2 linked regions of the Cricetulus griseus genome follow. The protein of the gene in region 2 interacts with the protein of the main gene of each other region in a biochemical or structural test. Links are inferred from orthologs where the notes say so. Each region holds a gene or a part of one and is shown on either strand. Other genes may lie near its edges.

Region 1 (3,915 bases), on a different chromosome or scaffold from region 2:
TTAAAGGTCAAGGAGATTAACTTTCCCAGAAGACAGAGGTCTGTGGGAATGTGATGCTGATTTGGGGAGGGAGAGATCCTGGTTCAAGTGCTACCTTTACCTCACTGTAAAGGAGGGCTGTCTCCCAGGGACCCCGAAGGACTAAGTTGGTTTTCTGATCAAGAGTTTCAAACCATCCAGATGGATATGATCAGTGGTCAGATATGTGGTTAACCTGGGCTCCATATCCAGTACTTCAAAAAGAAAAACTGGAGAAACACACGTGAGATGTAAAACAAGAGCCTACAAGAAACCTCATCAGGTAAAGGTGCTTGCCACTAAGCCTGATGATGTGAGTTCAATTCCTGGGGCCCACTTGGTGAAAGGAAAAAAACTAACTCCCACAAGTTGTCTCCTGACTTTGGCATATATGCACACACACAAAATAAATGTAACAAAACCAGTGGAGCAGGATGGCTCATATCTGTAATTCCAGCATTTGGGAAACAGGGGCAGGCAGATTTCCAAGAGTTCCAGGACAGCATGGTTTACACAGTGAATTCTAGGCCAGCCTGTTTCAAACAAACAAACAAACAAACAAACAAACAAACAAACAAACAAGGGCTAGGGACATGTTTGATCCCTCGAACCCATATAAAAATACCTGGGCATGGTGGTATCAACTTACAATCCCAGCACTGGTGACACAGAGAAAGAAGGGTCCTAGGGCTAGCTCCAGGTTCAGTGAGCTCCAGGTTCAGTGAGAGACTCAGCAAAGATGGCTTGGTGGGTAAAGGTACTTGCCCATAAGCCTGGCAGCCTGAGATCAGTCCCAATGATCCACATGGTGGAAGGAAAGAACAGACTCCCACAGATTGTCCTCTGACCCCCACATGTGCACCAGCATGCACCTACCTTCCGAATAAAATAATTAAAAAAAAAGAAAAAAGAAAAAGCAGCAGCAAGGAGAGTGACTGATCTGGTTGTTGACAACCAGTTCACTCTGGTGTCAACCTCTAGCCTCCAGCCCTCATATATATGCATGAGTATGCAAGAGCACACACACACACACACACACACACACACACAATAAAGCAAGCAAGCAAACAAACAGAAAACCACCCTGAACTAATACGTTGGTGACTAGGAAGTGTCTGAGGCCGGGAAACTGAGGTCTGTGTTGAGAGCAAGCCAGAGCCTGTGGGCAGCTATTGTCATTTCCTGCTTGGTCCTCACCTAAGGGTGACTCCAAAGCTGGATGTTTTGGGGGGGGGAGGGGAGAAGCTTCAGATGCACCTGTGTCCAGGGGTGTCTAAACCCTCCGCTTCCCCCAGATGGACCTCTTCACTCGTTGTATAGAGCTAACCCTCAACCACCCCGGGCACCAGCCAAGACAGACAGTGCCACATCTGCTCTAAACCAAATCACATAAGAAAGGTCAGAGCCTGTTCAAGGATGAACAGCACCTGGAGTCCAGGTATAATTTTCTGTACTTGACACCTGACTGTTTTAGAGTGCCCACCAGGAAGGAGAGTTCCGATGACATTAGCACACAATGGTCCGGTCAGGGAGACAATACAGCTTAGTTGACATTACACAGAAATCATTCCCTATGTTTTCCTTTTCTTTCTGAGCCAGGACTCATGTAGCTCAACCTGGCCTTGAACAGTCTATGTAACCAAGGATGACCCGAACTCCTGATCCACCTGCCTCCACCTACCTAGTGCTGTCATTACAGCTATTTACCAGCACACCTGGTTTCAGGATGCTGGGGATGGACCCCAGGACTGCACCAACTGAACAACAGCTTGGCCTGGGATAAACCAGGCCTAGGCACCATTCTCTTGTTCCAGGGCCATACAGCATGCAGACCACCCTGTTTGACAGGAGTTACTTCCAGGTCCAAGGTCTGTGCCATTTTTGACATCAGGACTTTGTCAATCACAAGCCAATTCTGTTCAACTGCACCGTGAGGCAGCCCTGGGGGAAAGCTGTTCAGGAAGTGACAGGTGGTGTCCTGTCAAGGCTGCACGTGGCCGTGGCCGATCTTAGTTTCTCACAGGAACTTTTTTCTCACATCTCCACCAGGGTGACAGGTACTAGCACCACTCCTCAGGCAGAGGGCAGCAGGACTTTGGGTTGGAGTCCTGACTTAAAGGTTAATTGATGGTGCTGGCCCTGTGAGGGTATAAGGCGGCACCTCTCTGGGACAGCTAGGCCTCGAATTTGGGAGTCAGATACACATGGGTTCAAATCTCAACCCTGACACCTGTAGACTGACCTTCAGTGCGTGCCACACCCTCCCTCAGTTTCAAATTCCTCCTTCAGCGACACAACACCCAACCCGAGAGCACTACAGTATTTGATAGTGCACAGGCCGAACCTGGCACATAGGGAATGATGCACGAGGTCAGGTGTCACTTCCATGCCTCAGTTTCCACTTCTGTAAGACGGGGATCTCTCCCAAAATTACCGTCTCGAGGGCTGCTGTGAGGACAGAGAGTTGACAGGCTCCAGGACCCCAGCCCAGGGCAGCCTCTCCCTCAGACAGCAGCCTGAGTGTTCCCGTCTGCACCTCGTTCGCGGCGTCCCCTCGAGGAGACGGAGGCCGCTGCGGTCCTCCGTCAGGGCCCACGACCCTCCCGGATCCTCGGCCCGGGTGGATACCGAGCCGATCCCTCAGCCCAGCCCCACAGGGGCGCGCCCAGCCCCGGTCCCCGGCCGCCCCGAGGCGCCGCTACCTATGGTGGAGATGAACGTGGAGTTGAAGGCGTCCTCGGAGAAGCGGAACAGGACACAGGTCTTCCCCACCCCCGAGTCCCCGATCAGCAGCAGCTTGAACAGGTAATCGTAGGTCTTCGCCATATTACACTCTCTCCCCGACGGGAAGTCCGGCCGGCGCCTCGCCACTGGCCGCTAGACCCGTCCATCATCTCAGATCCCGCCCCCTATTGGACCTCGGCCCGCCGCGCGTCACCGAGGCCGACGCCCGCCCTCCGGAGCCCCGCCCGTCGCAGGGAGCTCAGGGCAAAGAGACGAATCCGGCGCAGAGCCGGAAGCAGCCGCACCGCGCCGCTCATTGGCTGGCCCTTGGGGTAGCGAGATTTGTGATTGGCTAGAGATGGAGAGTCGGAGTGGGGGGGCTTCAAATGAACGGCGGTGGGCGTGGCTATGCCCTGGCCCCACCTTCTCATTCCCCGCCCCTGACGGGAGGGACCCCAACAATTCCGCGCGCTAGGGGCGGCGAGGGACGGACGGGCTTGGTGAAAATGCGCATGCGTGCTGGAAGACGGTTGGCTCCAGCAGAGGGCGCACGCGCGCGGAGGACGCCTCAGCTTTCCCGCCTTCGCAGCCCGCGCAGTCGCATTTAGGCACTGCGGCGAAGCGCGGGAAGTGCATGAGTCACTGCGCTCACTCCCTTGTGGAGGTTTTTCGGCCGAGGCCTCCGGGCTCGCCCCAGTGAGCCCGCCACGCGAGGCCCTGAGGCGTGCCATCCCAGAGGCCGTAGCGGGGGCAGGCGCTGGTAGGACAGTGGCAGATCAGTGTAATGGCAGTGTTTGTTCTGTGCCCGCCGGAAATGCAGGCTCCTTCACCCCACACCAGCGGCTGAGTATGCTGACGCTATAGGTGAGGTGACTTTCCCAGGCTTTACAGTGGCACTTCCTTCCCTTCTGGGTTTTTGTTTTTGTTTTTTTCGAGAAAGTGTTTCTCTGTGTAGCTTTGGAGGCTGTCCTGAAACTTGCTCTGTAGACCAGGCTGGCCTCGAACTCACAGAGATGCGCCTGCCTCTGCCTTCTGAGTGCTGGGTGTAGGGAAAAAGGGCCAGCCAGAGAAACACACTTTGGCCCTGCAATAAGTGCCAAAGAAACACACTTTGGCCCTGGAATCAGAGTCAGTGAAAGAAATATACCTTGGTTCTAAAACTAGAGCCAAAAG
Region 2 (3,815 bases):
TGCTTTTTATCCATTTGTATTTTGAGATCCATTTATGATACTGTATGTATCAATAGCTCATTCAGTTTGTTAACAGATTATTAGTACTCTGTGGCTAGCTTAGCCATTCACCTATTGGTGGGCACTTGAATTGTTTCCAGGTTTTAGCTATCATGAATGAAGTTATTGTATATACATAATAAACCCTAAAGACACCACCAGAAAACTTTTAAAACTGATAAAGATCTTCAGCAAAGTGGCAAAATATAAAATTAATACACAAAATCACTAGTCTCTCTACACACAAATGAGAAGCATACTGAAAAAGAAAACAGTTCCAGTCATAATAACCTAAAAAAATACATTGGAATAAACCTAACCAAGGATATAAAAGACTTCTATAATAATTTTAAAACACTGAAGAAATTAATTGAGAAATATACTAGAAGATGGAAAGACCTCCCAGGTTCATCAATTGAAAAAAATCAACATGTGAAAAGTCAAATTGTGAAAATGGCTATTTTACTAAAAGCAATTTACAGATTCAAACAATCCATACAACAGTTGTAGGCTTTTCCCTAGGGCATCTCTCTGTCCTGCTGAACCACAGGCATATGATCAGGTTTACAATACCAGGCCTGAATTCTTTCTGTGGAGCAGTTTGTTAGTTATCCTTATAAACTCCATGCCACTATTGTACCAGTGGGTGCATTTTGCCTGGCAGGTCAGTAGCATGTAGGGTTGGCTTTATGGATACCTTATTCCCTTGAAACAGGGTCTTCCACCAAGCCTAGAGCTAGGGTACTTGCCAAGTCTCAGTGGTTCTTTCCTTCCTTCCACACAAAGCAACTGGTTCAGGTACATGGTAATACCTGGGTTTTACATAGGATCTAGTGATTGAAAGTCAGGTCCCAAACCCAAATAGCATGGAGGGAAAGAATAAGTTGGGGTCTCCACAGTTAATTGCTTCCATCTTTCTCTTTTGCATCATAAACTTTTAAAACACATTACAGAAATAGAGGATAAATGAATTCCAATATCCTTGAGGTGGTATGATGGTGGAAGTGCTTCTGTGTATGTGTTTGTCTTATTGGATGATAAAGTGCTGTTTGGCCAATGAGGCAGCAAGTTAGATGGGACTAGGAGTCAAGGAGGATTCTGGGAAATGTAGTAGAGATCCAGGAAGGAAGTGATATAGCAGGCAGACTCATATATAAGTAAGATCAAGAAGGAAGTCATCCTTTTCCACTTGCTCTTCCTCCTGGTCTCTGCTCTGGAGTCGCCATGTGATTCGCCAGCAAGAGAGGGTGCCAGTGGGAGGCGTCCTCGATAAGATAAGTCTTATAAAATATATAGATTTATGATAATTAAGACTGAGCTAGCAAGCTGGGCCTTGGTGGTGCATGCCTTTAATCCCAGCACTAGGGAGGCAGAGGCAGGTGGATCTCTGTGAGTTCGAGACCAGCCTGGTCTACAAGAGCTAGTTCCAGGACAGCCTCCAAAGCCACAGAGAAACCCTGTCTCGAAAAAACAAAACAAAACAAAACAAAACAAAACAAAGACTGAGCTAGCAGATGAGAAATCCTAGTCTTTGGCCAAGCAGCATTTGTACCTAATATAAGTCTCTGTATGTTACTTGGGACCTTAATGTGGTGGCGAGCAGAACTTGGGCAGCCTGGTGGAAAGCACCCACATGGCAGCAGGACTTTGGCAACTTGGTGGAAAGATTTATTGTTACAGTGGTGCCCTTAACTAACAAAACAGGAAAAACTGTTTAAGGACATGATACAGAAAAATTCTAACGATGAAGAAAATATCAAGAATATATCAAATTTCAAGAAATAGTAGTTCAGAATAATTGTTGACTTACATTCTTGTTACTAATATTGAAGGAAATGTATTTGTTCAGTAAATCCAACTACTTATCCACACAAATTCTCATGCCCATGCACACCTGTGTGCATTTGTGCATGTGCACACACAAAGTTACCTACAAGGATAAAAATGTCAAGATGGCCTTCTTCATAGTTAGAGTCAATGGCAGAAGACAACAGAGCTACATCTATAGTAGTCTGAGAGAAGAAAACATGACTCAAGTCTGTAAGGCTCAGCTAAGATGCTATTCAAGTACAAAGGTAGTTGGGCAGGCATCATGAACATGAAAGAATTCAATAAACATCACAAAGCCTTCCTGGAAGCACTTCCCAATGATGAAGTCTAGACAACCAAGAAATAGAGCCAAAGGAAGGAATTCAGTAGTAGAGAAGTCACTGTGCAAGGCCTAAGTACAAGCAAACCATCCTTATAAATATGAAACTAAAACTAAACCAGGCCTTAAACTCTGTTGATTTATGGCTGCATAACAGAAAGAAAATATAACAAAGCCTGCAAAAAATTAAATAATTTTAGTAACCAACACCAAGAATAAAAGAAAAGATTAGGAAGGTATGGAAGAAAGCTCATGGTGACTGGCGAGATGAAGTGGCTCCACAATTAAGGATGCTTATTGCTCTGGCAGAGGACCAAAGTTCAGTTCCCAGTACTGTTGTCAAGTGGCTCAAAGCTGCATAGGAGTCCAACTCCAGGGTATCTAACACCCCTCCAGCCTCTGAAAGCACCTGCGTACATGTGAACATACCTGTCTACAGACACAGAACTTTTTAAGTAAATTGTTGTTAAGAGTGGATGGTTTTCTTTTTCACAGCACAGTGCACATAAGAACAAAGTAAATTTGCCTAAATGTTGATATTTACATAATCAGATCAAGATTGATTTTTTCTCCTTCTTTGATTTTATCTGTACTTTCCAAACTCCCTCTAATAGTGCCTATTGTTTTAGAAAACGAAGTAAAAGTAATAGAAGAATTGAACAATAACAATTCCTTGGCTCTTACCTGGATTCCTTCTGTTGTTCCTGAATGATCTTTCTTCCTGGCCAGATATCGGCCATCTGTGTCTGCTGAAGGAGGGACTGTCCCACTGTCTCTCTTTTATTTGCTTCAAAACAAAAATGTGGCAGAGTAGTAGTAACCAGAGCAAGGAAGGAGACAACTTTCAAAATATCTCCCCCACCCCAAACACACACTTGCAGATGGGGCAGACACATTCTTTTATGTTTCCCCAAACTGCCTGAGCCCCTGGAGTTAAATGGCCACTGACTAGACTACAGCTGCATTCTCCAAAAGCCTAACTAACCCTGATGCTGGGGCCTTCAGGGAACAGCCTCTAGCCTGGTTCAATACCTGCAGGCTTCCTGCGCAGAGACATCCTGATTATCTCACTGCCTGTTCGGTAAGCGAAGCGGTTTACTTTCTGGTCATAAAACCAATCTCCAGTTGCTTTCTTCAGCTCTCTGGGAGAAAAGAAAAAGGTCAGATGTATAAATAATAAACTCTGCCATTCAACTAACCAAGTTGATGAGAAAAAAATTCACACTACAGCCTGACTCATCTCCCCTCTTTACTATGCTGTTGTTAAGTAACACTCACATTTCCTTGGCGCACACCTTGCACCGCCAGGAACCATTACTTTCCAGAATGCGGCATTCTCGACACACTAAATGATTACAACCCACACAAGTGTTGTTCTTGGGAATCAAACGGCCCAGGCCCTCCTGGCACCGGGCACAGGTCCGATCACTGTAGTGCTGGCTGCCCCTTTTGGCACCTTTGCGTTTTATCTCCAGTAGCTCATTCTTCAGTCGCCTGCCAAGACCCAAAAGAGAAGCACAAATGGGTTCAGGATCTTCACAAGCTGAGGTATTGACAGTAAGACTACTAGGTTGTGTAAAAGGAAGAAACTCGGAGCCCAACTTGACCCACTGAGCTGTCAAATCCT

Evidence for each region.
Region 1: the proteins of Sytl4 (region 2) and Rab8a form a complex in vitro, tested with the Homo sapiens proteins (2 studies listed by BioGRID). The link is inferred for Cricetulus griseus from reciprocal best matches to the Homo sapiens genes SYTL4 and RAB8A.

The regions. Positions count from the first base shown.
Region 1 is NW_023276806.1:246,924,418-246,928,332, reverse strand, and holds the start of Rab8a (ras-related protein Rab-8A), read right to left. Parts: upstream 2,881-3,915; 5' UTR 2,845-2,880; coding exon 2,721-2,844; intron 1-2,720. UniProt on the Homo sapiens protein: The small GTPases Rab are key regulators of intracellular membrane trafficking, from the formation of transport vesicles to their fusion with membranes.
Region 2 is NC_048604.1:46,165,080-46,168,894, reverse strand, and holds part of Sytl4 (synaptotagmin-like protein 4), read right to left. Parts: intron 3,683-3,815; coding exon 3,467-3,682; intron 3,331-3,466; coding exon 3,221-3,330; intron 2,976-3,220; coding exon 2,873-2,975; intron 1-2,872. UniProt on the Homo sapiens protein: Modulates exocytosis of dense-core granules and secretion of hormones in the pancreas and the pituitary. Interacts with vesicles containing negatively charged phospholipids in a Ca(2+)-independent manner.